4 linked regions of the Tamandua tetradactyla genome follow. The protein of the gene in region 4 interacts with the protein of the main gene of each other region in a pairwise test. Links are inferred from orthologs where the notes say so. Each region holds a gene or a part of one and is shown on either strand. Other genes may lie near its edges. The genes, in order: VASP, IMP3, NEBL and ZYX.

Region 1 (7,320 bases), on a different chromosome or scaffold from region 4:
GCCCTCAGTTTCCCACAAGTGAACAGGAAGGTAAAGTTTCCTGCCCATTTCTTTTTATTTATCTGTATTATCTTAAGTGTTCCTATAGTGAAAGTGGGTTATTTGTACTTAATAAATAAAGGTTTTATTTTCCCCTTTCTTTAATAACATGATAGTTGGGAGACAGACAGCCCTGGATTCAAACTCTGCTTGGCCACTTCCAAACAGTTTAACTTCCACAGGCAATTTGCTTAGCTTCTCAGTTTCTCAGTTTTCCCATCTATAAACTGGGGTGAGAGGGTCGTAAAAGTGCCAAGCTCTTAGGACTTTTGTGAGGATTAAGAAGAATCAGGCACCTAGTACAGTACCTAGCACAAAGCAGATGTGTGATCAAAGGCCCTTCTTTTTAATTCATAAAAATAATAATAATTACCACTATTGGAAAAGGAACAAAATGAATGCGATTTCTTCCTGAGTTCCTTCCACCCCAGATGCTCAGAACTCTGTTCCCCCTTTCTGGCCCTCCCAGAATCCCAGCTCAGAGTACGGTACACAGCAGACATTCGACAAATATTTGTCAAACTGGGAGAAAAAGCAATTTATCTTGTAATTTTCCATTTTAACATCCTCCCTTCCAGCTGCCCCCACAAGTGAACCCAGGCAAACAACCCAGAAATCTGAGGAATGGACCCCAGCACCCCACCCCACCCACCGCCCCACCCCTACCAATTGCCTAGGATTTGCAGAGTGACCTTGAGCCAGGCCTGTCTCTCTGTGCCTCAGTTTCCCCAGCTGGGGTTAGGGACCTGGGTCTGGAATCCCAGCTGTACCTGCAGAAGAGGTACAGCCCAAGAAGGTGGATTTAGTGGCCTGCAGAGGAGACCCCTCAGGAAGTAGGAGTGACCCTCTTCAACTTCGGCCTGCCACTCCACCCCACCCCCAGCAGGCGAGAGGTTTGGCCACAGCCCCAGCAGGAGGGGGCCCCTTTGGGAGGGCCAGGGGTGGGGTGGGGGGGGCAGAGGCCCGGCCCGGGCGCTGCTGCTGCTGCTCCTGCCCTTTTACGGTCTCGCAGCGAGTGAGGCAGCACTAACTCGGACATCCGCCATCCGCCTTCCTCGGTGCCTGGGACCGGAAACGCGCGGGTGGGGGTGGGGCTGGGGGCAGTGGGAGAGGGGAGTCCCGGGGGAAGAGGGTGAAGAGAGCCTAGCTACTGCACACCGTACCCTTCCCCCCATCCTGGGCAGACCTAGAGGGGACATGGATGTCACTGGGGGTGGGGGGTGGGGAAGGATAGGCAGGAAGCCTTGAGGGTGTCAATGGGTGCCCCCCCTGGCTCCAAACCATCCCTTTCCCATCAGAAGGCTCAAACCGGAGGGGGCGGCCCTAATGGTCATAAACAGGAATGCCACCCCGATGTCAGAGGGCAGGAGTGTGGGGGAAATGGGAGTGTGTGGGCACCCGGGGGTTAATCCCCAGCTGTCCCCAGGGGCCTCCCCCTCAGGCTGGGGGCTTTGGGGCAGGAAGTCTCTGAGAGCTTGGAGGAAGGGAGATAGTATTGTCAGGCTGCAGCCCCAAGGGAATTAGGATGGGGGGCCGGGGGCAGGGGGGGAGGTGGAGAGTATGGTGGGCTAGTCTGGGCAGCCCGCCCCAGTTCCCGGCGTCAGGTGAGTTCAGGACTTTTTTTGGGGGGGTGGGGGCTGGTAAAACAAAATCTCTGGATCCCTTGGGCCACCCCCATCCCAGGATTAAATTCCTAAGAAGACAGCTGGAACTATCTGGCAAGCCTGGGTCCCAGGGGGAGAGGGCTATGACCTTGAAGCTTTCTTGCACCCCCCCACCAACCTCATAGCTCCCGAGAGCCTGGCAGGAGGAGGGTTACGGGTGACGAGGGAGGGGTCGGGGTGGGGAAAGCAGCCGGCCCAGGGCGCTTCTAGCCCGCCCCCCACACCAGCTGTCTCGACAGGTGAGTCAGGAAGACAAAGGCCCCCGTCCCCCAGCTGCCGCGACGCCCCTCCTTCCCCAGAGCCGCGCAGGTGGGGGAGAGGGACCGCCCTTCTGGCCCCAAGCCCGGGAGCCGCCCTCGGCGCTCGCTCCGTCTAGGGCACGGAACGATTCTGGACCGAGAGGGACGGGAAAGGGGAGTCCCAACCAGACCCTCGAGGCTGCATCCGGGTCCGTCCATCCGCACCAACCTCCTCTCCACAGGAGGTTCTGAATGTCCTCCCGCCCCGCCCCCCCAAAATGCAAGGGATTAAGAAGTACCCTGAAGTTAGGGAGCGCGTTTCCACTTGGGGAGACTTTTTCCAGCACCAAGTAAAGAGGAACCCCAGTAACCGGGCTCTATGTCTTAGCCTCTCTTCCGAGACCCCGGATCCCCCAACCCAGCCCCCCACAATCCCTCCCAGACTTCAAGTTGAGGTTCGGGGGAGACTCTACGCCCTGCCTAAATTCTGGGTATCCGTGCAGGGAGAATCTGCCAACTTGGAGATCCCGGGAGGAAATCTAAAATTCGGAGAGCCCCCAAATCTGAGTGCTCCTAAGAGAGAACCTCACCGGCACCACACCGAGTCTTGGAAGTCATGGGGAACTGACCATAACTTGGAGCTCGTCCAAAGGGGTTCGGCTCCAAATCTGAGGCTCCCAGTGCCGGGTCCCCAAATTGCATCCCGGAGAGAGCTGGGGGAGGGGGGACAAAGGCGGGGCGGGGAGCCCGCGCAGGGCGGGGAAGGTCGGAGGCAGTTCACTGCTCACCTCATGGCTGCTCGGCTGGCGGGTGGCGCGCCCACCGGCTGGGGACTCCCGGGGCGCCCCTGGCTGGAGGTTCAGGGGTTCGGGGCTGGCTCCACGTTCTGCTCAGTCTCCCCCAGGGTCCCGCCCCATAGAGTCCGGCTTCCTGGGGGGAACGTGGACCGGGATGGGGCGGGTCCTCGGGCGCCTCCTTCCCTTGGGGGTTTGATGGGGGTCCCTGAAGCAGAAAGCGGGTGCGGCGTGCCCTCCCCGGCGCGCCCCCCGGGCGGGCAGCGGCTACAACGTTACTCTTACTACTGTACTTCTCTTCGCTACATTTCGTTCCAAAATTCCACTCCCCGCACCCACAATGCCCCGCGCCTTAAAGGGGCCGCGGCCACCGCGAGGCGGAGAGGGGAGGGGTGGAGGGCGCTTAAAAGGGCAACGTAGACCCTCCACTTCCGCTATTTCCCTCTGCCCCGAAGTTATTGCACAGGGATGCACTCTGGGGGTCACCCCCAAATTGGGGTGATGCTAGGTGGAGGGAAAGGGTCCTTCCTTGTTCCGTAGTTCTCCCCCAGGATAGGACTTCTTAGGGGGATCTAAATGGGGGCACGATTTCTTCCTTCTCACCCTCCCCCCATCGATCTCCCCATTTCTTTATCTTAGGCTCAATTTTGGGGGTGGGGGAGAAGGAAGCAGAACCCTCTGTTAAGGAAAATGTGACTTCCTCACATTTTCGTCCTGAAACGCCACCTTAGGACCCTCAGCATCTCTTGTCTTCACTGCCAAGCTATAAGGGGTTACTGAGGGGTGCCCCCCGATCCCCGCGCAGGAAGGGGACGGGTGGGCAGGGCCCCGCCCCTCTCACCGCCCCCCGCCCGCCTCGCCCGCGGGAGGAAGATGAGGAGGAAGTGGGCCGAGGGGGCGCGGCCGGTCGCTGACTCACAGCCGCAGGGTCGGGGGTGGGGGTAGAGTTGAGTGGTTGGCGAGGCGGGCGGGGGTGGGGTGGGGGCCGACGCCGGCCCTGGCTCGGGCTGGGACTCCGGCCTTTGGCCCTTTCCACAGGTACACCCCGCCCTGATTCAGTTTCGCTCGCAGAGGACAGACGGATCATCCCAGCAGCCGGGAGAGCCCAGAGGTCGGGAGATCCTCCCGGGTGCCGGTTCCTGAGACCTCCCTCTCCAATGCGCCGGCCCCGGGCTGAGCTCAAACACAGTCCTAGGCTTCCGCAGCGGGTCCCGCAGGCCCCGCCCCGAGTGACGTCACCGATGTGACCACACCCTCCAAAGAGCGCCCCCTGGCCCGCGTGAAGTGCCTTAGCCGGAGGGCTGGCGTCTGGCAAATCGGGAGTTCGACCTTAACAAACGGGTAAACTGAGGCCCGGAGGAAGGGACAAATTTGGATTATGGCCCGCTTGCAAAAGCCGAGGTGTGATTGTGAAACCAAAATTCTCGTGGCCCAACAGAGCAGGTGAGGAAATCAACCTTCCCAGCCCTTGTCCAAGCTAGGCTAGGATGCAGTCGGGTCCGTCACCTAGGGGCTCACCCTTCTAGACCAAGCTATTACTTTGATTCTTCTCTGGGGAATCGAGTAACCTCGTCCCCTCCTCCAGCTGCCCTGGGGACCTTGAGCCCTGAAGCACCTAGATTGTAATTGTGTGTAACTGTGTTTCCTGGGGCTGTGAGTTCTTTGGGGGCAGGGGTAGACTTGATCGACTTCTGGGCCTCACCCAGCCCAGCAAGGTCTGAGCTGGGGCAAACAAACATTTATCCAACTGAATGAGAACCCCAGTTCTGTGTGACTTTGGCAAGTCTTTTCTCTGGGTCTCAACTTTTCCATCTGTGAAATGGGAAGGGTGGCACTTCTGGGGTCAGCCAACTTTTTCTATAAAGGTCTAATATAGTAAATATTTGAGCTTTGTGGTTCACATGAGATCTCTTTTGCATATTATTATTATTTTTCAAACAACTGTGTAGAAATATAAAAAGCATTCTTAGCTCAAGTGTCATACAAAATGGGGAGCAAGACTCCTGCACTGGAGAAATCTTTGCTTATAAACACAAGGAGCCTGATCTTTGTGGCAGCAATGCTCTTAGGGCAAGGAATTGGAAATAGCCTAAATGTCCAGCAACAGGAAGAGAGATAGCTAAACCATTGCACATCTTCTCTGAAGCACTGTACAGCCGCTAAAAGAATGCGTGCAATAACATGGAAAAAGTCTCCAACATATTGTCAAGTGGGAAAAGTAAGTTGCCAAGTGATACAGTCTGAAACCAAGCAAGGAAACACCAAAGGTATCATATATTTGCTAGAGTACATGTACATATGTTTACAGGCAGAATGAAAAACCTGGAAAAGTTCACTCCTGACTCATGACTGTAGTTTACCCTTGGAAATACGGATGGGATTATGGGGTCCTTGGTAGTCACAGAGATCCCAAACCTTATCTCCAAAATGCCAGCCTCTGCATTGGCTGTTACCTGAACCTTGGAATACCATTCCCTGGGCTGTTCGCATATCTGGCTCCTTTTCCATCAGACTTCTCACACTATGCCATTTTGCACCTTCTGAATTTCAAACTAAGTGAATGTATTACCCATTGAGGAAATAGATGAATACCAATTTAAACAACCAAAGTAGCTCCCCTAGCCTTTTTATCACACCACCTTGTTTTATTTTCCCCATGACACTCATCAGTGTCTGAGATGACCTTATTTATTTGGCACGCCTGTTTGCTGTCCCACCTCCCCCTCCCCCCCAGGAGGTCCCCAGGAGTAGGGCTCGGTGGATCTACCTTCTTCATGGTGTGAGCAAGGACTCACAAATATGTATGGCCAATGCATATTTGCCAAGTGACTGCGTAAATGATGTTTGTTTTCTACAAGAAAAAAAATGCATTTTGAATTGCCTCTGTAATTAAAATTTAATAATAAAGAAAAAAAAAAACTGCCCTTCTACCCTCCCCTCAAAACCACAGGAAGAATGGGAAGGAAAGGGAAGGTTATTGAACTGACTTTTCATTGATGGGGAACTAGGAGAGAGGGAAATAAGCATTCTGGGGTTCTTCCATCAGCCTGTCTCTCTTCCGTTGGTCCATGTAGCTGGGGAAGGGAGCGGTTTTCTTCCTTAGTTCCGTTGAGGCCCCAGCTGGGTGGAGAGTCTCCAAAGGATGACAGCTGTCAGGCCTCCAGACCCAAGGCAGAGCCTGATGGGTGCTGGTCGGCTCCCCAGCCCTGCTCTGTCCCAGCTGTAACACAAAATGTGGGAGACAGTGAATAGGAACCCTTTCCTGCCTTCTCAGCCTCCACTTGCCTGTCTTCTGGAAGCAGCACCCTCTTTTCCTTTGAAGGGCCACCCTTTCCCATCTCTCAATCAATCAGGTTTGGGTGGAGAGGACCCCAATCCCCAGTGCTAGGTTGGGCACGTGACACAGTAAGAGGCATAGTAACCAGTCATGCATGTGGCCCAGTTTGGTCAATGAGAACCAGCTCTGGGAGGATTGCTAGAACTTCTGGGAAACAGGCCCACTCTCTCCACCACGAGTGTAAGCTGGTGGGATGTGCTGCAGCTCTCTACTACCTCAGAACAGAGAGCTAAGAGATGGGTCCCTGATGAGATCATCTGAGAAATGGCTCCAGCCACCTTAAGTTCCTGAGCTTTCCAGTTTTGTGTGTGACCCAGTAAATTTCCTGTTTGCTTTACCCTGGTTGCCTTGGGTTTCTATCATTCACAAATCAAACAATCGTGACCAATACCATCCTTGGCTACTGAAAACCCATCAACAATCCCCCTTTGTCTGAAGAACAAAAAACCAGATGCCCTCCCCCAATCATGCAAAGTCCTCTGGGATGTGATTTCCAGCTTCCCCCCCTTTCATTTCCTCCCTGATGCCCCACACACCCCACCGTGCCACCTCTCCTCTAGCCATTGGAGACCTGGGTCATCCATCCTCAGGATGTCATCTTGATAGTCTCTGCAGGGCACCCCAGGCCTTGGGGTCCTTGTTACCATTTCCAGAATTTATCTTATTCCTAGGGGATAAGACATTCCAGGGGGCTGTGCCTGGGATGATGGGGCTTTACAGAGCATTTCCAGGAGGTGTATTTTTTGGAAGGGAAGTTCTTTCTCTTCTGTAGCCCATTGTTATGCCACTTTGAGGCAAAGTGCTTCCGGGTCAGGGGTAGGAATTTACTAATAGAGCAGGCAAGTTGCTTTTCCTCTGTGGCCTCACTTTCCCCATCTCTAAAGGGGAGAGAGGGACTAAGAGAAACATTCAAGAACACAGGGGCCTTACCTCCCAGCACTCTTCTGAGTGACAGATCTGAGCATATGCTTCAGCGATCACAGTGGCCCTGGGGAGCAGGGGGAGGCCCTCAGGAGGGGACCCTCCACCTACTACCCCTCCCCCAAACCCCTCCCCAACCCACCTCCACTCACTTACAGTCCAGCCCTCCCCCTGGGGGGTAAATCCAGGATGTCCTCCGAGGCCAGAGTCCTGAAAATCGTGTTCAGGCTGGGGGTCTCCTGGGCAAGGGTGCACAGCTCTGAGAGGGAGATGAGAGTAATGGGGGAACCCCTGTTTGCCGACCTTCCCTCCCATTGGGCTCCCGG
Region 2 (7,145 bases), on a different chromosome or scaffold from region 4:
TTGTTCCAATTTATACTCTCCCCAATTGTTTTTTTATATATATAAATAAATATATAATATGTAAGTACATATTATATATATATATATATATATATATATATATATATATATATATATATTTGGTTTTTTAGGCTTCTTTGGTGTAATTCCCTGTGTATTTCCTTTGTGACCTGGGGTGGGGTGGGACGGGGCGAGAGAGCTACTACATGCCAGAAACTCTTCTAAATCATTGTAGGAATTAACTAATTTAATCCTCCCTATAATTTTTAAGTTCTGTACTATTACTACCCCCATTTTTCTGGTGAGAAAAAGAAGTACAGAGAGGTTAAGTATAACAACTTATGTTACACAGCTAGTTAAACAGCAAATTAAGTCAGGATTCAGCCCAGGTAGTCTGGCTTCAGAGCCTGTCCTCTAAGTCATGTCTGTCCTGCCTTGAATAAGATATTCTTAAATCCAAAGTTTCTGGTTGCTGGTTCTGGTAAGTCATTTCTTTCACACCCTTCCCAAAAAGGAGAAGGAAAAAAGATGCTTCTAAAGAAACTTGCATTTTATTTTTAAGGTCCTATACCCAGTTTCCTTCAAGAGAACTTTGAAGTTGTATCTGCTTGAGCCAAAGGTGTGGCCTCTTACTACTCCAACGGGGCGGAACGACCTGCCCTGTGGAGTCTAATGAGAGCGGGGCTAGCAGGGGGCCTAACATCTAGAGCCATCTTACCCTCCCTCCCCATGAGATCTCCACTCCTAGGGAGTCCTAAGAACACTCCACCTAATAGGCAGAGTCTGTGCCTACTCACCAGGGCTGAGGAGTGGGATTCCGTCTACTTGCATTCCTAAAAAACACAGGATTTGGACTTGAATCCCAGCCTTGGACAAGTTTTTGGTCCCATATCTATTTCCCAATCTGAAATGTGGGGATAACATCACTTACTTTGCAGAGTTGTTAGGAAGAGTAAATGACAGCCAGGCACAGTCAGGGCCTCAGACTTGGCTCCCTCTCCTAACCTGAGTATTGCCTGCTCCCAGCTCAAATCTTTATACAGCATCCTGGTGGGACCAACCATGTGGCCCAGTTTTTCTTTTCAGAACAGGCATCTCCTCTGTTGGCCCTCAGATTCAGGAACTCTCAACCCTGACAGTCTCCTAAAGAAAGCATATAACCCCAGTAATGTAATTGGATTCCCCACTTCATAGAATTGATGGGAAGATGAAATGAATTAAAACACATAATACATTTAAACCCATGCCTGATATATAGAAGCATCCGCTATTATCATCAAGTGTCACTCTCCATCATTTCTTCATCAAATGCTGCCTCCTACCTGGCAAGTGGAGAAGGCACACTTAAAAGTCAACCCATTGGTCTCAGCATTCTATTTATTCTTTTAGAAGATTTGAGTAAAAGGTTATCTCCCTAATTCTCCCTCTCAATTCTCCACCATTCCTAAGAACATGTAAATTTCCAAGAATCTCCTGGGTCACTTCTAACCACTAGATGGCCAAGCTACAGGATGATTATTTCCTTAGGCAAGCAAAGCACTTCAGTTCTCTAATATGGCATTTCCTGGGGCTGGAATATCAGCATCTAGTCCTGTAAGGAAACAGCTCTGCCAAAACACTCAAAAGGCGTTAGGGATTTGGAAGGGACTGGTAAACTAACAAATTTGCCCACCGCTGCCCAACCTCTGCAACCTCTGCCATGCTGCAGCTGTCGCAGGCCTCACTCACAGCCAAGTTACTACTAATCCCATTCCTCTTCTTTGGGCTCCTGAGCCTGGGATACCCATGGATATGACCTTATAGAAGAAAAGCAGAGAGACAAAAAGCTATACTTACAAACTTGTCCGACCATTTATTGGATTAGGCAAGCATTCCCGTAAAAAAGGGGGACCTGAACATTAAAGTTAACCCATTTTTTAGAAACTTGAGATCAACTCTCCATCATCTGTACACAGCTTAATCAGCAACAGGGGCAAAACTTCGAGTTAAATAAAGTGAACCAAACAGTCCTGCTTTAAGATGATAAAAGGAAAGATGGGGAAAAGTTCTTGCCTTCACACTACAATGTGTAATTTCTCGGGCACAAGAAGCTAATAATTTCTCAGTGCAGCACACAAAATTGCTTCCGATTGTGTCCTAAGGCACAGTCATTTAATCCTCAGTAGTTCACGTTCTTAGGAAAATATCCTGGTAAACAGGAGTGCACCACTGTGCGTGGCCTGCGACCGTGGAGTCAAGTTCTTTAACAGTGAGAAGAACGGACAAACAACGGATCAGACGCTTTAGCCGAGAGTGCCCTTACAGGATCTCCAGTACCAGCAGTCCTCAGCGTTCCCATCTACTAAAACGCGGCCATGGAGAGAAGAGTCCCCCTACGCTTCCAGATCGAAATCATCGCGCTCCTCGTTGTACTCCAATACGTGCCGCTTGATCTTGGACGAGTCAACCCAAGTGACGAAATCCTCCATGCTGCGCGTGACAAGGAAGGCCGGGTCGGTGACCACGTCGGGGCCCACGCGCACGTGTCCCTGTTCCACGAAAGCCACGGCGGCCTGGAGGTGTTGCGCCATGCGCAGCTTGAGGAGCACGGTGGGGAGGCGGCGGCGGCAGAATGACGAAGCCGTGACAAAGTCACAGAGCTCCAGCGAGCCGCGCGTGGGTATCAGGCCCAGTGCATAAAGCTTGTCCAGGAGCGCTGCTGAGGCGCGCACGCGGAAAGGGTCGCGCTCGGACAAGTCGCGCAGGCGCCGCGCTAGCTCGCGCACGGCACGGCTCAGCTGGTTGTAGCGCGTGTACTCCTCGCGCCGCTGCAGTCGATAACGCCGCAGCACGCGCAGCTCGTGCAGGTTGTGGTCGGTAACCTCCCAGTTGAGGAAGTCCACCTGCTTCAGCAGCTTCTGCTCGTGGAACTTTAGCTTCCGCACCATGATGGCAGCAACCAAAGCAGCGAAACCACCCACTGGGCCGACTTTCCCACACGCACGCGATTTCCGCCTGAGGTGGTGACGCCCTGAAGCGCGCTCGGAAACCCAGGCCGCCCTCGGAATCCCCGGCCAATGAAAGAAGGACTCAAAGCCACGCCCTCTATCGCCATTGGTTGGAATGTGTTCACGCCTCCGCATCTATATCTCGCGGGTTTTTTTGTTCTTCTCGTTGACAGAGTGGGAAGTAGCACTAGGGGCGGTCCCCGGGCTTCTAAGTATCCAAGAGTGCAGCCTGTAGTATTGGGCTGATTTCCACCCATTCTGATTTCAGCTCTTCCGGGACCCTCGGGAGAAATCTTCCCCGATAGAGCTGAAGAGGCCAATTCCGGGGAAGAGGGGTGACCGCCGGGCATGTGTGATTGAGTTCACTGTGCTTACTGACCATTGTTTTCTCCCACCCTGTGGGGGGCTTCCTGGAGCCGGCCTGCCCAGGGACAGGCCGATATCCCCCGCCGCCCGCCTGAGTCAGGCCCTTCTTCACTGGGGGGCGGGGTTGTTTCTCCCTCCCGAGTAGGTCTGGGCGGCACCGGACCTATGACTTATTCCTGTATGTTTAACGAGAGTCCCATGTGGTTCTTACAACCCAGTTAAGTTTGAAAAACTTGGGATGTGAGTTCAAATCCTAATCCTTTAGTCTGAGCTCAACCTATTTAGCCTGACGGCGGATTTCCGGCCACTGAGTATTGAGTTAACAAATTTAAAGCTATTTCTATTAGTTAAATTTGTAGTTGCATCTGAGTGTTGCGTTGCCAGGCTCGTTCCTTTGTTTGCCTGCGCGTTTGATGCCTCCTAGCTTCTCCGCCGTTCACTTTGTTTTATTTTGTATGCTTTTTATTATTAAAAAAAAATAATTTCATATGCAGATGGAACGTATGTAGGTTATAAAATATAAGGAATGAATACTCATGAACTCAACAGCCAGTTTAAGAAAAATAACATCACCAGGATTGTTTCATCTACTTAGTCCAGCCCCTGCTAAACCCCAGAGATAAAAGTACTTACTCCCCTGAATCTTGTGTTTATTACCTTTTGTTTTTTAAAAAATAGTTTTATCACTATACACGCATCCCTGAAATATACTGTAGAACTTCTTACTCAAAGTATAGCCCGTGGACCAGCGGAGAGCTCGCTGGAAATGTAGACAGTCAGGTCTCATTCTTGACCTACAGAATCAATCTGCATTTTAACAAGACCCCCAGAATGCACCCAGTAGTTGGAAGAGTGCTGCATAGCAAATATACTGTATGCAGTTACATGCAGCTCTAGTTGCTTTGTTTTTTTCCTGCTTCATAATATTCCATTGTTTGACCCTCTAGTTCAGTTAATCCATTTCCTGTTGGACTTTTTGGAGAGAATATTTTTAGCAGTGGTGCTGTTAACAGTTTTGTACTTGTCTCCTGTTGCACGTTTGCAAGAGTTTTGAGTATACATCTTAGAATTGGTTAGCTTTAAAGTATGTGTATGCTCAACCTTACTACATATTGCTGAATTGTCTTCCAAGGGGGTTGTATCAATTTATAGTCCTCTGACAATGTGTGAGAGTTCTCTTTGCTCCTCGTTCTTGCCAATGCTTGGATGTCATTTTTTAAAATTTTTGCCAATCTGGGGAGTATGTGATGGCATTTTATTATAATTTTAATTTGCATTTCTCTGATAACTAAAGATTTCATGTGTTTCCTCCTTTGTGAAAGGCCTGTTCATATCTTCTGTCTATTTTCCCATTGGAGTGTGTGTAATCCCCCCCCCCAGCCCCGAAAATGACCCATCCTAATCCCTATAACCTGTGAAAATATTACCTTACATGACAAAAGGAATTTTGCAGGTGTGATTAAGGATTTTAAGATTGGGAGATTATCTTGGATTATCTGGGTGGTGGGCCCTATATAATTATAGGGTCCTTATAAATGAAAAAAGGGAGAGGCAGGAGAGTCAGAGGAGATGTGACAATGGATGCAGAGGCCAGAGTGATGTGATTGTTGGCTTTGAATAAGAAAGGGGACCAAGGGCTAAGGAATGTGGGCAGCCTCTAGAAGTTGAAAAGGGCAAGGAAATGGATTTTCAATAAGAGGCTCCAGGGGGAGCATATTCCTGCTGATACCTTCATTTTAGCCCCGTGAAACCCATTTGGGACTTCTGATCTCCAGAAGTATAAGATAATAAATTTGTGTTGTTTTAAGCCACTAAGTATGTGATGATTCATATAGCAGCAATAAGACACTACTACAGATTGCTTGCTATTTTCAAATTGATTTGAAGGTGTTTTTCAAAAATATATACTGAATATTAATCCTTAATCAGTTCAGTATGTTGCAAACATCTTCTCCCTGTGTGCGCTCTCTCCCCACCCCTCACATTGCACCAGTCTCATTTTCTTCCATGCTCACCATTCCTGCAGCATGGTTAACTTCTTGGTTAACTTTCTTCTTTCCCAGCTTCTCCAGTTTAGTTTAAACTGAGGTTCAGGTCTGTGGCTTCACCATGTGTAGTTCACAACTCTCCAATCTGTAAATCCAGGTCAGATGTCTCCTGAGCTTTAGATCTATATTTTCAACCATGTTGTCCACTTCCTAACAACCAGAACTTGCAGTAAGGTTCAATGAATTATCTCATTTAGTACTCACAGTTTTCTACAAGATATTGTCTCCATTTTACCGGAGAGGAAACTGAGGGATAGAGGAGTTAATAATTTGCCAAGGGTCACAGAGCTGATAAGTGCCATGAGTGCCTGATTCCAGACCATGAAATCTTAACTGTTTTTCTATACCTGAATTTCCTACAGGCACCTAAACTCCACATGTGCAAAAGTGAAATCATTTTTATTTATTTTTGGAGCCAGAAGCATCAGTCATTAATTTATTCAACAAACATTTATTGATCATCTTATTATGGAATAGGTTTTGCTCTAAGTGCTTGGGATTCATCATGAACAAAACAGACAAAAAACCCTGCCTCATGGAGTTTATATTCCAGTGAAGGGATGGAGACAGACAATAAACAATACACAGGTAATTATGATAATCTGATATGAAGCAAAATTGAACAGGATGTAAGAAATAATGAGGATGTAGGGTGGGGATGGGCTGTAAATTTAATTAAGATATAGCAGGGGTAGGTCTTATTGAGAAGGTTATATTTTTAAAGTAGCTATATGGATGTCTAGGGGAAGGGCATTTCAGGAAGAAGCAACAGTGAGTGCAAATCCTCAAGGCAGGAATGTGCCTGATATGTCAGAAGAGCAGAAAAGTCATTTTGTCTAAACCAGGGTGGGCAAGGAGGAGAGGAAGAAGTTAAAAGGCAATCAGATAACACAGAGGCTTATAGGCCCTTATAAGTACTTTTATGTTGAGTGAGATGGGGTCACTGCAGGATTTTGAGCAGAAGGTTGACATAATGTGATTTATTTTTTAAAAGGATCACTCCAAGGGCTGCATTGAGAGTAGACTGTAGGCAGGGATGGGTGGAACCAGACTGACCGTTAGGATGCTGTTGCAGTGATCCAGGCCAGAAAGATGGTGTTTTGGACCAGGAGAGCAGCAGAGAGATATTGAGAAAAGAAGAGTCAAGGAAGACTCCAGGTTTTTGGCCTGAGCAACTGGAAGAATGTATTTGCCATCTCCTGAGATAGTGAGGGCTGCAAATAGAAAAGATTTGGGGACAGGATCAGAAAGTCAGTTTTGGACATGATGGATTAGAGATGTCTATTAGACATTCAAAAGGAGATATGAAGGAGAAAGATATATGACTTTGGAGTTTTAGAGAAAGGTCTGAACTGGAGATAAAAAACACTTGGGCATAAGTAGCATATAGATGATACTTGAAGCCATGAGCCTGTATGAAACCATCAGAGGAGTTAGTTTAGAGAGGACAAGAAGATCACTGTACTGTGGTCACCCTAATATTCAGAATTATCAGAGAGAAGACCAGGAACCAGTAAGGTAGAAGGAAAATCAGGAGGGTGTGGTGTCCTCAGTGCAAAGGAAGAGAGTGTATCCAGGCGGAAGACGTCATCAACCAGGTCAGAGGCTGCTGAGAGGCTGAGTAAGATACAGAGAATCTTAGAGAATCCATGCATGAGAAAAGACCACTGGGATCCAGCCACAGGGAGGTTTTGATGGCCTTAACAAGAACAGTTTTAGTGGAACATAGGGGTGAAAGCCTGGC
Region 3 (7,848 bases), about 43 Mb from region 4:
TTAAACCAAAAGTCTTCCAGTCCACTGGGCGTCTGTGTTAATGTGTGCGCCGAGTACGAACGTTTTTTCTCTCGGTGTGTTTGGAGGAGTGCAGACTCTTCATTTTCGCACCCCAGACACTCCCAGCCTGGAAACTGCTGTGCTAAAAATTAGCTGCTGTTTCTTTTCTTCTCCTCCTCCTCCTCCAATGGCAGTTTAAATAGGAAGTTCTCATTTTTGAATTGGGTTTCTGGTTGGGAAAAATAGGAATATAAATACTGAAAAGCACTCTATTAAATCTTATTTTAACAGCATAATTGGTGATTAATTGGGTTACTTTGTATTCTTTTGATTTCTAATTAACAAACAGTAATGACATAGCTATTAAAAAGAGAAGGTATGCTTAATGAATGTAGATTGCAAAAATAGATTGATCTAATATCAGGCAGAAATCTTCTCTTTTAAAAAGGAAATAAATTGCCCTAGAATGCTTGCTGTTTCTTTTCTTAAGGACAGTCTCCCTCTCCCATCCGTTAGTAAAAGCTCTCTTTGGGGCAGATGCCAAAGTGGGAGGATAAATAGCCTGAGAAGCACCAGCCTTCTGGAGCATAATCTTACATTTTTAAAAAAGGCTGCTAAAACTGAGTGTGTGAAAGACCATCAAAGCAGGAAAAGAGGTCAGATGACTAATTTCTCTCCCAGCTGACTATCTAGGGTGAATATTTTGTACTAAGAAATGTTGAATTAATTTTTAAATGGAAAAGAAAAAAAACCAGTTTTATTCCTGTAAGTTTTCCTCAGCCCCATGCTGAATCCCGAGCTGCTGCCGCCTCCGTTAGGGCTCTCCTTTCCAAGGCGGACCTCACTGTGCTGGGAAAAGCACGTGTCCCACACTGTGAGGGGAACAGGGAACACACGGAAGTGAGTGAAGTCCGCGGTCTTTATCAGGAGCTGGGAGAATCTTGTAGCCTGTGACCTTAAGAAAAAAGCTGAAGGAAGACAGTCAGGTGCTCGTTTGCCCCTGGTTGTGGGATGGATGAGTTTCCTGGGCCAGGTGTGGGGTCTCCAGAAACCTGAACTACCCACGGTTCTGCAGTTGCTATGGAAATGTATTTCCTTACAAAACAACGCCTTGCTATAAAAAAATACAAGAGCCCTGTGTTCTAAGTCTTCAGCTGCCTGTTATTTCTGTGCTGTCTGGTTGTAGGAAGCCTCCCGTGCCTTTGAAGAGACGTTGATGGTCCCTGTCTCCCTTTTAAATGAGAAGACCCTTCCCCTTTCCCCTCAAGGGCTTCTCTGGAACTCTGTGTCCTTATGGGGTAGTTGAAAACTCTTGTCTTTGTAAGGGTCTTTACTCTTCTCAAAGGGGTTTTCTTTTATTGACTGACAGCAGTTCTGTTTTCTGTTTAACTGTGCAGAACTGGGGACCGAGGGGATTAAATCATTTATCCCGAGGCCACAGGAATGGAGCCCCATCTCCCTGTCATTCCAGGTCAGAGCTGGGGTGGAGCACGAAGGTAAAAAGTAGACAGAATGCTTGAAATCCTCATTAAGAAAAAGGTAGTAGGTGCTACATGGGTGATCTTTTTTGGGGTGCTCCAAGGTGAAAATATGTATCAGATTAATACCTGGCAGAGGTGGTACATTCTCCCCCCCGCCCCCCACCGGACGCACTCAAATGACCCATTCCTGAGACGCCGGCGTTTCAAAGAGAGTTTACTGCTGGGCACGAAGCAGGAGCTCAGATGGTCAGTGAGCCCGAAGACCTCTCTCCTCCAACCCAGTAACTCGGATAGTTTTGTAGAATTGAAAGATGGGCAGGGTTTAGGATCAGACATCATGTAGTGTAATTAGAGGTGATCTAACTACTGAGGATGTGCAGATTGATCACACGCTTCATCACAGAAAGTCTGTGGGAAAAAGGCCTTCATGTGTGGTGGGCATGATTTTATTATAATGAGGTCAGGTGACTTGTAGGTTAAAGTCTGAACTCCTGCGCATGCCAGGCCCACTTTGGTTAGATCCGGTCTTTGTTCTCAAGGTAACTTTGGTATTGGGTGGGTTAGTTCTGGGCAGACCCAAGGCCCTTTATTAATAAACTTCTGGGGCTGTCTTTAGTGATCACAAGACTCCAAAGTAAAAAAAACTGGATAAAATGGGTACAAGTGAGAGTCATTCATAAGGTTTTTATAATCACAAGGGCACAAGATAAAGGCTAAACTTTCATTATCAGAGGTCAAGGCAGCTGGGTTGAAGTTCAGAGATTTCAGGTATTTTCCTTTGTCTACTCTAATATACCAGAAAGTAAAAAGGAATATCTATAAAATGATTTGATAATCATAATCATCCCTTAAATCCTAACTTCTTGGTTACAAAATTGCAACATTGATCTTGGTTTTGAAAAAACAAAAAGGTGATAGGGAATTTTGAAACATGATGGCGCTCCTTCAAAGCTAATTTCTTCTTATTCCCCAAGTCATATTTTGGAGCTATTAATAAGAGCGATTTGCTGTGAAAAAACACTTGACCTATTTTTTTGGAGGAAACTTTATGTGGATTTTGTATGTTACTTGTAGGTGGAAGGAAGGAAGGTGCATTTAGTCAAAAGTAACGGCGTCTCCAGCTTGCCAAACAGCCCAGAAGGAGTTTATCCAGCCATCTTCAATGACGGCTCTTTTATTTCCTACCTTCTCTGGGTGGAAAGTTTGAGTGTCTCCCCCTTGCCTCCCAGTACTGAGCTCAGGGCCTGACAACACAACATTGTTGAAAGAATGAGCAAGTTAGGTTCTGCTCCCAGCACTCAGTTGAACAACTTTTGCAAGTGAGACTTACAGACCATTTCTGTGGACCTTAATTTTCTGCTCTGCAAAGAGAGAACTCAAGGTGGAATGATTTCTTAGGGATCCCTCTGGTGTTGAATTGTGATTCTAAAATCTCAAATAGACTTATTTAAAATTGCTTTCACATTACATGTTGGCATTTGATTTTGCTTTCAAGACTTTTCTGCATTAAATCTCAACAGGTTATGTTCTTCCAGCAGAGATGGAGAGACCATAAGAACATGATGGGGAATCCGAAAAGAACCGTGGATGAACCTGAGGAAGGTAATGCGTTATGGGGCTGAGATCTTTCCCTGAGCCGCACAAGCATCTCCTCTCCAACACGAGCCAAGGCTGTGTCCTAGGCAGCGTTGGCGAGATTTTCTCCTTATCCCTCTAGAGGTTGCAAGAAAAGCTTGTACAATGTCTATTTCCTATTGTCCAGAAGCAGTAATAGCACGGGTGTTCAATAGGATATTAGAATAATCATCTGGCAGAGTTCTTGAGGGGACAGTCAGAATTCACCCCACCTGCTGCTTTGTGGGACAGAGAAGCTCCTGGTTGCAGTCGCTGTGCTGGGCAGATGTGACACACCTGTTCTTTCCAAGTGAAGTTCTCCAACTTCAAGACTTTCTGGCAGTTTCTCTTTTGATGTTTTGCTGGTCAGTAGGATCTGTGATGCTATTAGATGAGCCAGTATCAAAACCAGTATCATGAAAAGACCAAAAGCAGTTCCAGAGCATTCCATGTCGTTAGCATAGAGAGAATGTTAAAAAAAAAAAAAATCAAAGGATTTCACGTTTGGGAAATGTGGAGGTAAGTAAAACCACATCGGTTTCTTGGTCTTGAGTCTTCTCAGAGCTTCTAATGTGGTGTGGAGCTCAAAGTGGTCTCAGTAAAGATTTAGTGTATAGGTCTCCAAAGATTGTTGATAGAACCCCTGTTTTTTCACAGAGTATTTTCTGGAACTTTTGCCCATGGAATACAATCTGAGAAATAATCTGTAAATAATGATTGTGTAGATTTTTTTTTGCCAGAATTTTCAGTTTAGGCAAGATCAAGGAAAATATTTTTTAGTAACTTGATATCTGGATTTAATAGCAAGAGAAAGCACCACTGTGCTTGGCTATTTTGCTGATGTATTATTTTGAATAATGTTGTATTTTATATAATTGGTTTCATTATTCACTATAGGGCATTTTTTAATGTTCAGCAGGATATGCTGTAGTTTTGCAAACCTTAATTTACCCTAGGATTAAATAACTGAATGTACAAGTTATGAGCTGTGTGGAGACTTGGAGTTTGTTCTGAGAAATTTTTTTATTATATGGTTGATGATACATTATAGATATTGTTATAGTTGATGTTTATATTTCCAAGTGTGGTACACATTGGAATACATAAATAACTAGAGAATTAAGAAAAATTGACACATGAGCAGGTTTGAGATGGTGACATTTCTAGAATCCTTAAATGATATAAAAAACATATGTTACCTGCAGTTTCTTATGTGTAATGAGGTTTGCAATTAAAATGATGTAAAACAAACTAATATAAGATTAACTGTCACAGTTAACTCAGGATAGATTTTTTATTTTTAGAACTGGTTCGGAGGGCTTACAGTAAATTATGAAAATAATATTATCAGCTGATATGACGTGGGTGTTTTCAGAATGTGGGAAGTACATGCGTGTCTCATTCACGTTTTAATGCCGGGCAGTGAAATGAGTTTCAGAAGTTCGGATCCAGCGCACCAGAACAGAGCTTTGTCTGACATTCCAGCAAAAGCTTTATTTAGGTGGCGTTTTGAGGGTCTTTGAGATAACCCTGTGTTCCACTGCGAGAGCTCCAGTGTCCCAGCTCGGCAGTGTTCCCATAAGCTTTGTGTCCTTTTCACACTATTTTATGAATGTTTCGTGCATTAGTGAGACGTGCATCCATTTTCCCCTTTGGGTTTCTTAGCCAATTTAAAGAATGCTGGCTTTATACGTCACAGCACTCCATTTTGTCTGCTCATGGGGCTGGCCTGGCGGGTGGAGGCCTCTCGTCCCGGCCACTGGCGCGGAGTTGAGATAAGGAGGTGAAGTGTGAGCTAAAGCGGGGTGAGGCCTGGGCAAGGTCATTTGTACCAGGACACCAGAGCACAAGGCTGCAAAGCCCACCGGCCACGAAAAGGCAAGCACGAGTGAATTTAACAAATACGTAGGTTTTAAAAGGGTCACTATGAAGGTCCCGGTATGTGAGGATTTAAAAGATGGAACTGAAGAAGAAAACGCAGGGGGGGAGGAGAACGAAGATGACATGGTGAGTGAGGGGATGCCTGCTGAGAGGTCTTTGCGTGGCTCTCTCAAAGCCAAAGATGAACAGGTTTCCTTTACTTGCCTCTCTCTCTCTCTCTCTCTCTCTCTCTCTCTCTCTCTCTCTCTCTCTCTCTCTCTCTCTCTCTCTCTCTATTGACAGGTGTTCTGGAAGCCTGTAATTGAAGACCTACGCATGGAATTGGCCAGAAAATGCACCAAACTGAACAGTGATGTGAGTGGCTCCAGTGATTTCTGTCGTATTTTGCGTTGTGTGTGAGGCACTAGGATGCATGGAATCCTGGGGCTGGGAGAAACTCTTGAAATTCTCTGTTATTTACCAGCTATGGAACTAAGTCCAGAAATTTCAAATGACTTCCCCAAGACCCCCTGCGGGAGCAGGTCTCCTCATTCCCTGGCCAGAATCCTGTCTGTTGTGGATTTCACTGTCCCTCTGGCATGAAATCATAAAGCATTGAATTTCAGAGCATATTCCCTGTGCGAACCCAAAGATTAAAAAAAAATATGTGTATAATGATGTAATATGTTTTGGGAGGATCTCTATCTAAATTAGTGATTTTTAAAAACGTTTTGGGGGCCTTTGAAGAATCTAATGATGAATGCAGTGGTTCCCCTAACCAGAAAAACGCGTATGCCTATATGCGCAACGTTTATTTACAACTTAGGATCCAGGGGTTCCCACACTGCAGGCTGAGAGCCCTGGAACAGATGACAGTGACTTTAGTAAAAAAGCAGCATTTTTTGTAACGATTTTTAAAGTAACTGGGATCAGTTTATATTATGTTTCAAGGGAACCACAGAATTATAGCATTATTTAACGCAGATATAGTTACAGTAAATACATAGATGAGAATTGCAGAAGCTCACAGACAGGTGTGCTTGCCGAGGGCGAGGGTTTAGGTCACCCTCTTTAAAACGGTGGGTGTAAGGCACCCCCAGCCTCATTTACTCCCGTTACCTGGCAGCCCATGGGTAACGGGCGGGGTGGGGGGATGGCTGCACCGGCCTGCCTGGGTGGACCTGGTTGTAATCTTGGGTGGGGATGGGGTGGGGTCCCGTGGCCTCCCGGGCTCAGGGCCTCACCTGGAACCCCGTGAGAGTAAGAACCACGCGGCCGTGCCTTCCAGGCTGGGGACCCCAAGCGCGCAGTGCACGCGCCCTGGGGGGGCTTCCTGAGTGTGGCTGTGGCCCTGCGGTGCCCCTAGGTTGTCAGAAACAGTGGGGGGAGGGGTCTCAGCACCGTTCCCATATCCTTCTATCCTTCGCGCGGTTGTAGTGACATTTTAAACTGTTTCTTTGTGCTGTCAGTTAGTCCCAATGTGTCGATCGTGAGCATTCGCCGTATACTGTAACAAGAATGAGGAGACCGCCATGATGATGCAATAACTGAGACTTCCAGGGTGCTGGGGCCTGGGGAGAAGGGTGTGTTAAATCCCCTTTCGGAGGTGAGGGAGGGAGGCTCTGAGGGGTCACGCAGTTCAGCAGTGGGGAGCAGACCCCGACCCCCAGCCCCCGCAGCTGAGGCTGCTTGCTGTATTGTGCTAGTATTAAGGACACTAGTGTCACCTTGAAAACCTTAAATGCCCAAACTCTCCACAGACAGGTACAGTAGGGTTGTCATGCCTAAAACTAAAGTGACAGCTTCAGTTAGGAGGTGATTTTGTGGGAGTTATTTTGGGTAACATAGTTTATCAGTGACTTTAAAATCAGCCCTGCAGTGAAAGGCTCTGACCTTACCATTTTGTAAAAGCTGAAGTCCCTCTCATGTGGATGAAATCACACACACGGCAGTGCTTTCTACTTACAGCTCGGTGTGGCAGAATGTATGTTTAAATATTTTATATTTAAATATTTGGATACACAAATATCAAACATTTAGCGCATGACTGTTGTGAATCAATTTATATCAGTTTTCATTTGTACTTTCTGTCTCAAAATAGAATTCTGTCCTTGTGAAGAAGGCACTGCTTTAATTTTTAGAATTTTATATTTATCTGTGCACAGTCTAAAAATTCTTCTTTGTTAAAAAAATGAAAAAAGGAGTGAGTATATCGGGTGTAAGTACAATCATTTAAAGATGCATTTTCATTTATCCTTTCTGGAAGGACTTGAACTAAATAAAATGTTGGTTTTTTAAAAGACTGGTTAAACAGTGTTACTAAATAGTAAGTTCCTTATTTGGTCTCAGTATCATCATTGTTTATATGGAGCAGGGGGACTTAGACATTGAGTTCTTATGTTGTCCAGAATGTTGTCCTCTCGGCTGAATGGTTGTCAGAAGTGTGTACTTGGTGCTATGTTCATCGTGGAGTGAAACCCGAGGGAGACCCACTGCGCTCAGCCAGGCCTGCGTGACGCCCCTCCCAGGGCCCCGCGTTGAAACTGTGCGCCTCTCCTTCCCTGGCCCAAACTGAAAGCTCAGCACACCTTCAAGTGAGGGCTTGTTTGGTAATCCACCGTGTCCCCAAATACCGTCCGTCTGTTTGCCTGAGCCTTTCTGGGGTTGGAAGTCACTTTTGGTTTTTGTCTGTTTTTTTGCATGAATTGGGTTGTGGTTTCCCTCCTTTCTAGAGTGTGGCATCTGGAAGCTTCCGGAAGCAGCCTCACAGTCCTGCTTGTCCAGACGCTCGGCTGGTGCGCCCCAGACTTGGGCTTGGAGATGAGCTTGATCACTGGAGATGGGCCACAGCCCTGTGTCCGCCACGTCCTCCCCACTCTAGGAGCGGTGCTCC
Region 4 (7,301 bases):
TACTTGGCCTCAGTTTCCTCTTTTCACTTGTGAATTCATTCTGTCACTACTTTTTTTTCCTCCTTGACTGCTTCTAATTTCTTTATGTTGTGTGCCTTTGAAAAAAACTTTCTGGTACCTAGTGGATAAAATCCTTGGAGGCTGGTAGGGATATTTTAAGTAGCACAAGCCAGTGCTTTCACAGGTTCAAAACTGTACAAAAATGTCAAGTAGTCTCTAAGGTACTACATGCTTTGGTCCCCAGCCCTCCCTTATGTCTCTGACCACATCTTCTTCTTGGTTGCTATTACTGGTGCTGCTCCAGCCACAGTTGCTTTCTTACCATGCCAGATAATCCAGACACTCTTCCATTTTAGGATCTTTGCAAAGGCTTTTCTTCCTGTCTAGAATGCTTTTACCTCCAATAGCCACATGGCTAACTGCCTTACCTCTTTCAAGTCTCGGTTCAAATGCCACCTTTTCCATGAGGACTTTCCGGCCCCTGTTTTAAATCACACTTTATGTCTCTTTTTCAATCTTTACATATCCTTATGACTTAGATGTTTTCCCTATATCAGCGTATAGTTGGGCCTTATTTTTTAATTGAGCATGGGAAGTCTTATAACTGCACTAGTCTATTTGCATTTTATGTGATTACTGATATTTTTTAGTTAGGTCTAAAATCTTAACTATTTTTATCTGTTCCACCTATTTTACACTCCTTTTTCTCTTCATTCTTGACTGCTTCTGGACTAAATTCTTTATCATTCCATTTACACCCGTATTAGCCTACATGTTATACACTAAAAAAAAAAAAAGCCAGTGCTCATTTTCTTACTTCCTCTCCCTTGCCTGTCCCTAAACTGTTGGGCATGCCTTATATGATATCATCTACTTATTGCATCATTTTACACCTACTACTTGAGGAAATCAGTTATAATCATTTACTTAAGAAAAAGACTTTTAGTTTGTTAATGCTGCCAGAATGCAACCAGAAATGGGTTGGGTTTTATAAAGGGGATTTATTAAGTTAAAAGTTTACAGTTTTATGTAAAACATTACAGTTTTAATGTCATAAAAATGTCCAAATTGAGGCATTCAGAGAAACATACCTTGACTAAAAAAAAGCTGATGAGTCCCAGAACACCTCTGAGAGCTTGGAAGGCATGTGACTGGCATCTGCTAGTCCTTTCGCTTCTAGTTTCAAACGGCTTCCCAGGGGCATTTTCTTTCTGCATCTCTAAACATCTCTGTGTGGGCTCTGAAGCAACTCCAAAATGTTTCCACTTTTAACAGACACCAGTAAACTAATCAAGACCCACCTTGAATGGATGGAGTCACATCTCAATCTAATCAAAAGGCCACATCTCCATTGAAACAACCTAGTCAAGAGGTCCCACCCTACAACACTGAATCAGATAAAGAAAACATGGCTTTTTAAAAATTAATAATAATTTTAAACCAGCACAATGCCTAAGGATAGTTAGGGCTGCTCTTGTACATTGTCTGCATTTTAATAGCATTGACCCTGCAGCCCCCCTGAGCCATCCTGGGCTACTAGGGCAGTGATTCTGTCCTTCTGGAACACTCTGTGTGCTTCTACTTGTATTTAGAATGGCTGGTTTAAAACTCTTAAGCTTTAATATTCTGCATCCTGAATGCTCTTTGTTGTCAGTAAAACTAAACCTGCCTACGCGCTCTTCTATTCTTGATTTATAAATAGGTTCAGCTGCCTAACAATTAAACATGCTATATTTTCCACACGCACATTCCTTAAAGACAGAGGATAGATGGCTTTTACTTTTATAAACCTATCTGGAAACCATCTAACTTTTTTTTTTTCAAGTAGGGATAATTTGAAGGACTAGTGGTGAGATTTCTGGTCCCTGAAGCTCAAGATACAGTTTCCAACTTGCACAGGGACAGACCCAGGATTAATTAGCTTGTATGTGTCAAAGAGGTGTGCACTGCATGTTATACATGGCTACACATGCTTGTGGATGTGAGAAATACTGGTAACAAGTACAAGTCAGCTGAGAAAAAAGAGAGGTCATGCGGGCTATGAAGGCAATGAAGATGGAGTCTTAAGTAAAATAAAGGATAAGGAGAGGGCATTTCATATACCAAGGCTCATGAGAGATTTGCTTGGGAACAGAGAAAGGTATATACGGGGAACTGGGTCAGAATTTCCATCTTGGGCAGAACTGAAACTTGAAATGATAATACTGAATATTATATAGCACTTTTAGATATGTATTTCATTTATTCCTTCATATAATGCATTAAATATCATCAATCTTTTACATATGAAGAAAAAGAAGCAGAGTATTAAGAAACTATATTAGTTTGGGTACTCAAACTGACTCCCTTGTAACCATCACAGCTTACTGGCATGAAGAATGCAGAATGATCATGAAAGTGGGAGGCATTAGAGTGTAGGGGAATGAGCTCTGACATGAGATGTGTCAAGATATTCAGTACTAGTCTAGACCCTGTTTCTAACTGGGTGCCAACCTAGGTCGATTTCTCTCTGTTTTTTTAAAATGTAATTTTATTGAGATATATTCACACACTATACAATCCATCCAAAGTACACCATCAGTGGTTCACAGACACTTCATTTAGTTGTGCATTCATGACCAGGATAATTTTTAGAAAAACAAATGAAAATAATAAAGAAAATCCCCTCCTTTATTGACCACTAATATTGCACTCTACCCAATTTTAAGACTTATAATAGAGATAGGTTAACTAAGACAGTGCAGTACTGTCAGACATCAGTGGAACAGAACCAATCATCCAGAATTAGATGTATACAAAAGGGGCAATTATTATTATTATTATTATTTTTGCTATATAGTTATACAATCTTTATCAAAGATCAGGTGGACCCATTACTTAACCTCTCAGTCTCATATTTCTCATCCACATTTTTAAAAGGTGAGTCTGATTATCTCTAAAGCATAGCTCAGAAGCTCATGACGTTAGCTGATTTGGAGGGTCAGGGACTGGGCCTACTAAGTTGGTGTGAAAAAACCTTAGATGGCTGTGAAGACTGACAGGACAAAAGGAAGCGCCTTTGGGATGGTATATTGGGGGAAAGAGTGAAAGACGACGTCTCCATATGCAGGCAGTGAGTGTGGAAGGATTCAAGAAATGTTTATGTAAATTTCCGTATACAATTAAAAAAAAAATCCAGGTTTTGTCTTCTTCGGGTGGCCTGGAGCAGAGTCGGAGACTGAGGAACCGGGTCCCACGAGCCGGAGGCTCTACGGAGCGCGGTCCCGGCATCCCGGCAGACCCCACGTTCGCTGATACGCTCCTTGCGGGGTGGGTCGCGGTGGGCGCCAAAGAACTGTGGAAGACGTGTCGCCCGCGTCCACGTCGGTCCTCACTGCCCCCGTCCCCGCCCCGCCCTTCCGCTTCCATTCATCACCGGGCCAGGCACGAACTCTCCCTGTTTTATCAGATCCGCAGGCAGGGGCGCGGGTGATGCAAATTCCTAGAAGACTTAAGAGGCTGCCCAAGGTTTGAAGTTAGTATCCTCCAATAAGCCCTCGAGGTTCGTGCTCACACACATCCAGGTCACCGAAGGGCCTAGGTGGGCATAGAGAGGGAGAGATTCCCCCTCACCATCCGCGTCCACTTGAGCCAAGTTCCACCGCAGTCCTAACAATCCCGGCTGCCTGAGGGGTTTTGGGGCTGGGCGCCCGAGGCTCGGGGCGGGGGATGGGGGTGGGGGAGGAGCAGCGGAGGGTGGCGTGGACAGGTAACAGTAGGCCCAGAGAGGAACGGGGACGCGCCGGGATAGAGGTACAGTTGGAGCCAATTGGGGACCTCTGGGTCACCCCGTCCGGCCTCCGCCGGCTCAGACCGCAATGGGGACCGTGAGTCAGATCTCCGGCGCCCGCGGGTCAGGCTGGGGGTGGGGGCAGGTCAGGAAATGACATCAGAGGCCTGTGTTTGGGGAGGGGTGGTCTGCGCCCGGCCGGGGCGGCGGGGGCGGGAGGACCTTCGCCGAGCCTTCGGCCCCCGGCAGGATCAGGGCCCCTTCCTGGGGGAGTTTCCTGCCTCGTCCGCCTTCCCCGCACTCCCCGCCCCCTCTCCGGGCCGCTCCTTGTATGGTCTCGGTGCCGCTCTCTTCCCGCCCCCTCCCTCCCTCCCTCTTCCCTGCGTCCCTCCCCGCTTGGCTGGAGGCGGCTCCTGACCGGGACGCAGACACAGCGGACTCAGCGCGGAGGCGGCCGCCCGGGACCCGCGCGCACGCTCCGGCCCGCGGTGAGACGCGGGGAGCCGCCCCGCGGCTGCCTACTGGGAGAGGGTAGCTGGGCGCCGGGTTAGGCGGGTGGGAGAGTCCCCGAGAGGAGCTCGGACCACAAGGGAGTCCTCAGCGCGCTTCCGCGCTGCGTAACCTGGCGACCCACCCCCAGCAGCCCGGCCTTGCCATGGCGGCCCCCCGTCCGCCTCCTGCGATCTCTGTCTCTGTCTCGGTCTCGGCTCCGGCATTTTACGCTCCTCAGAAGAAGTTCGCCCCAGTGGTGGCTCCAAAGCCCAAAGTGAATCCTTTCCGGCCTGGGGACAGCGAGCTCGCCTCGGCGACTGGGGCTCAGCGTGCACAAATGGGCCGGGTGGGCGAGATCCCCCTTCCGCCCCCGGAAGGTAAGCCGATGGGCTTGAGAGCTGGACCCCCGCCCGCACGGAGTGGGGGCAATGTTTTCGGGAGTTCGGGGGTGTCTGGAAAGGTTGCTGCAGAGGGGGCTGGGCGCAGCTACCCTGTCCCGAGCAGATGTTCTTACCTCATCGCGGAGCTTATGGCTGGGAGCCAAGGCTCCTGGGACCGTTCCAAGTCCCCTGCCCGGGGGTGGGAGACGGGAATGTGGGGCACCGACCTTCCCTTCTGGGTCCGTTTTCCGAAGTGTAACGGGAGCTGCTCCACTCCTTTGCAGTGCCCCTGCCGTAGCTGGCCCGGTGCTCCCAGAGCCGACCCCACACTCCCGGGGACCCCTGAGAGAGTTTTTGGGTTGCAGATTGGAGCTGTAAAACAGGGCAACTGGGGAGAAGGAACTGACAGCCCTTTCTTTCACTCCTATCCCAGATTTTCCTTTACCTCCTCCTCCCCCCCTTGGGGAGGGTGACGACACGGAAGGTGCTCTGGGAGGCGCCTTCCCACCCCCCCCTCCACCGATTGAAGACCCGTTTCCCCCTGCGCCCCTGGAAGAGGAGATCTTCCCTTCCCCGCCGCCTCCTTTGGAGGAGGAGGGAGGAACTGAGGCCCCCTTACCCCTCCCACCACAGGTATGGAAAGGCCTGGGACACTCCCTGGGAAGAGGGGAGTGTCCTTTCTTCCTTATCACCTCTGTTGGAAGTGGGGTGGGAATGGAGGACTGGGATGGGCTCTCTGACTTCTGACTCTCTAGCCCAGGGAGAAGGTGAGCAGTATTGACCTGGAGATCGACTCTCTCTCCTCGTTGCTGGACGACATGACCAGAAATGATCCCTTCAAAGCCCGGGTGAGGGTCAAGAGGAGAGGCTAGGAGAAGCAGGGCCCATATGAGAAGAGGCATGGGGATAAGACTAAGGGTGGCATTCTTCTCTAACTGTACTTCTTTCTTCTCTGTCTCCCCTTGCAGGTGTCTTCTGGATATGTACCCCCACCCGTTGCCACCCCATTAATTTCCAAGTCCAGTACTAAGCCCGTAACTGGGGGCACAGCACCCTTACCTCCTTGGAAGCAAGTCCCTTCTAACTCCCAACCTCAACCTCAGGCTCAGGCCCTGCCTCAGAGCCAGACACAGTTCCATATCCAGCCCCAGGCCAAGCCTCAGGTCCAGTTCCATGTCCAGTCCCAGCCTCAGCCTGTGTCTTTGGCTAATACACAGCCCCGAAGTGCCCCGGCATCATCATCTTCAGCTCCAACCCCTAAGTTTTCTCCCGTGACTCCCAAGTTTACTCCTGTGGCCTCAAAGTTCAGCCCTGGAGCCCCAGGTGGACCTGGGTCACAGCCCAATCAGAAGCTGGGGTCCCCTGAAGCTCCTACTTCTGCTGCCACAGGCTCCCCTCAACCCCCCAGTTTCACATATGCTCAACAGAGGGAGAAGCCTCGAGTACAGGAGAAGCAGCACCCAATGCCCTCACCAGCTCAAAACCAGGTGAGGAAGGACTGCAGGACTAGACTGAGTCCAGGGGGCTGAGGTCAGGGTTAAGTCTGGATCCAGAGAATGAAGGTGACTCAAGAGAGTTGGAGGGAGGTAGCGGTGAGGGGATAGCAATTTTCATCCTCTTGGTTAGACTAGCGGGACTACCATAAAAGAAAGCACTTCTGGAAGAACAGGCTAGCATGTCTGGTTTGGGTGGGGACTGACTGGGAACAGTGAGAGCAGCACAGGCTCTAAATTAATAAGAACATTTGGTGGACTTTCCTTTGGACCTCTGCTCCAGAATGTAAGAGGGGAGGGATGAGATCACCAGGCAAACCTTGTTTCTTCCCCCATATTGAGTTAATCTCTCCAACTCTTACCACCGAAGGGCCCATCTGATGATAAGAGTAGCAGCATCAGTAAACACAGGCTGAGCCAGCATTGTTGGGTGCCAGATACTGTGCTCTGTGCTCAGGAGTATAGGACATGGGAAGAGATTTCTCAAAGAGGTTAAGAGTGCCGGAGTCAGATGGCCCTGGGATGGAATTCTAGCTTGGAAACCCACAAGCTATGAGACTCTGGACAAATTAGGTGAATTTTATACCTCAGTTTGCCCACCTTTAGAACAATGTTGTCTATCTTATACTATAGTTGTAAAGATCAAGTGAGCTAATGCATGGAAAGTGTTAGGTTCTGTGACTAATGCATACATGCCAAAATATGAAAGCTGTAGTTACATAACATTGCTCTTGTCTTCTTAAATCTTACAATCTGGTTTAGGAAACTAGAGCTTCAGAGTTGAAAAGACCCTGGTATAGTCTAACCAATTGTAGAGTTAGTGAATGTCTGTATTTACTCATATAAGGAGAAATGCTGAGTGCTGATGAGATTCCTGTTACAGGGCTGTGTGACAGGGGCTCAGAATAGGGAATCAACTGTGGAGATGGTGTATCCAGAAAAATGGCTATGACTTAGAAACCTGGAAAGGAGAGGGAAGAGCATTTGGATGGGAATAGTGAAATTCAAGAGCATGCATACTCAAGGGGTGCTTAGAGACTAGAAAACAGAAGGTTCCTTTGGAAAAATTATAGAGCTATACTTAGAGAGGTAGGTGGGAGCTAGAAGGTAGAAGAAATTGAATAGCACTCCTGGGATCTTGTGAGGACTGAAAAGTTATGATTTTGA

Evidence for each region.
Region 1: the proteins of ZYX (region 4) and VASP interact in binary tests that used the Homo sapiens proteins (3 or more experiments, as listed by UniProt). The link is inferred for Tamandua tetradactyla from reciprocal best matches to the Homo sapiens genes ZYX and VASP.
Region 2: the proteins of ZYX (region 4) and IMP3 interact in binary tests that used the Homo sapiens proteins (3 or more experiments, as listed by UniProt). The link is inferred for Tamandua tetradactyla from reciprocal best matches to the Homo sapiens genes ZYX and IMP3.
Region 3: the proteins of ZYX (region 4) and NEBL interact in a two-hybrid assay, tested with the Homo sapiens proteins (2 studies listed by BioGRID and IntAct). The link is inferred for Tamandua tetradactyla from reciprocal best matches to the Homo sapiens genes ZYX and NEBL.

The regions. Positions count from the first base shown.
Region 1 is NC_135342.1:15,509,890-15,517,209, forward strand, and holds the start of VASP (vasodilator-stimulated phosphoprotein), read right to left. Parts: upstream 3,086-7,320; 5' UTR 2,736-3,085; coding exon 2,731-2,735; intron 963-2,730; exon of another isoform or gene 810-962; intron 1-809. UniProt on the Homo sapiens protein: Ena/VASP proteins are actin-associated proteins involved in a range of processes dependent on cytoskeleton remodeling and cell polarity such as axon guidance, lamellipodial and filopodial dynamics, platelet activation and cell migration.
Region 2 is NC_135338.1:66,331,510-66,338,654, reverse strand, and holds IMP3 (U3 small nucleolar ribonucleoprotein IMP3), read right to left. Parts: upstream 3,057-7,145; 5' UTR 2,928-3,056; coding exon 2,373-2,927; 3' UTR 155-2,372; downstream 1-154. UniProt on the Homo sapiens protein: Component of the 60-80S U3 small nucleolar ribonucleoprotein (U3 snoRNP). Required for the early cleavages during pre-18S ribosomal RNA processing. Part of the small subunit (SSU) processome, first precursor of the small eukaryotic ribosomal subunit.
Region 3 is NC_135327.1:229,742,523-229,750,370, forward strand, and holds the start of NEBL (nebulette), read left to right. Parts: upstream 1-4,812; 5' UTR 4,813-5,021; coding exon 5,022-5,102; intron 5,103-5,258; coding exon 5,259-5,330; intron 5,331-7,848. UniProt on the Homo sapiens protein: Binds to actin and plays an important role in the assembly of the Z-disk. May functionally link sarcomeric actin to the desmin intermediate filaments in the heart muscle sarcomeres.
Region 4 is NC_135327.1:186,997,658-187,004,958, forward strand, and holds the start of ZYX (zyxin), read left to right. Parts: upstream 1-4,223; 5' UTR 4,224-4,424; coding exon 4,425-4,638; intron 4,639-5,074; coding exon 5,075-5,274; intron 5,275-5,396; coding exon 5,397-5,489; intron 5,490-5,609; coding exon 5,610-6,128; intron 6,129-7,301. UniProt on the Homo sapiens protein: Adhesion plaque protein. Binds alpha-actinin and the CRP protein. Important for targeting TES and ENA/VASP family members to focal adhesions and for the formation of actin-rich structures.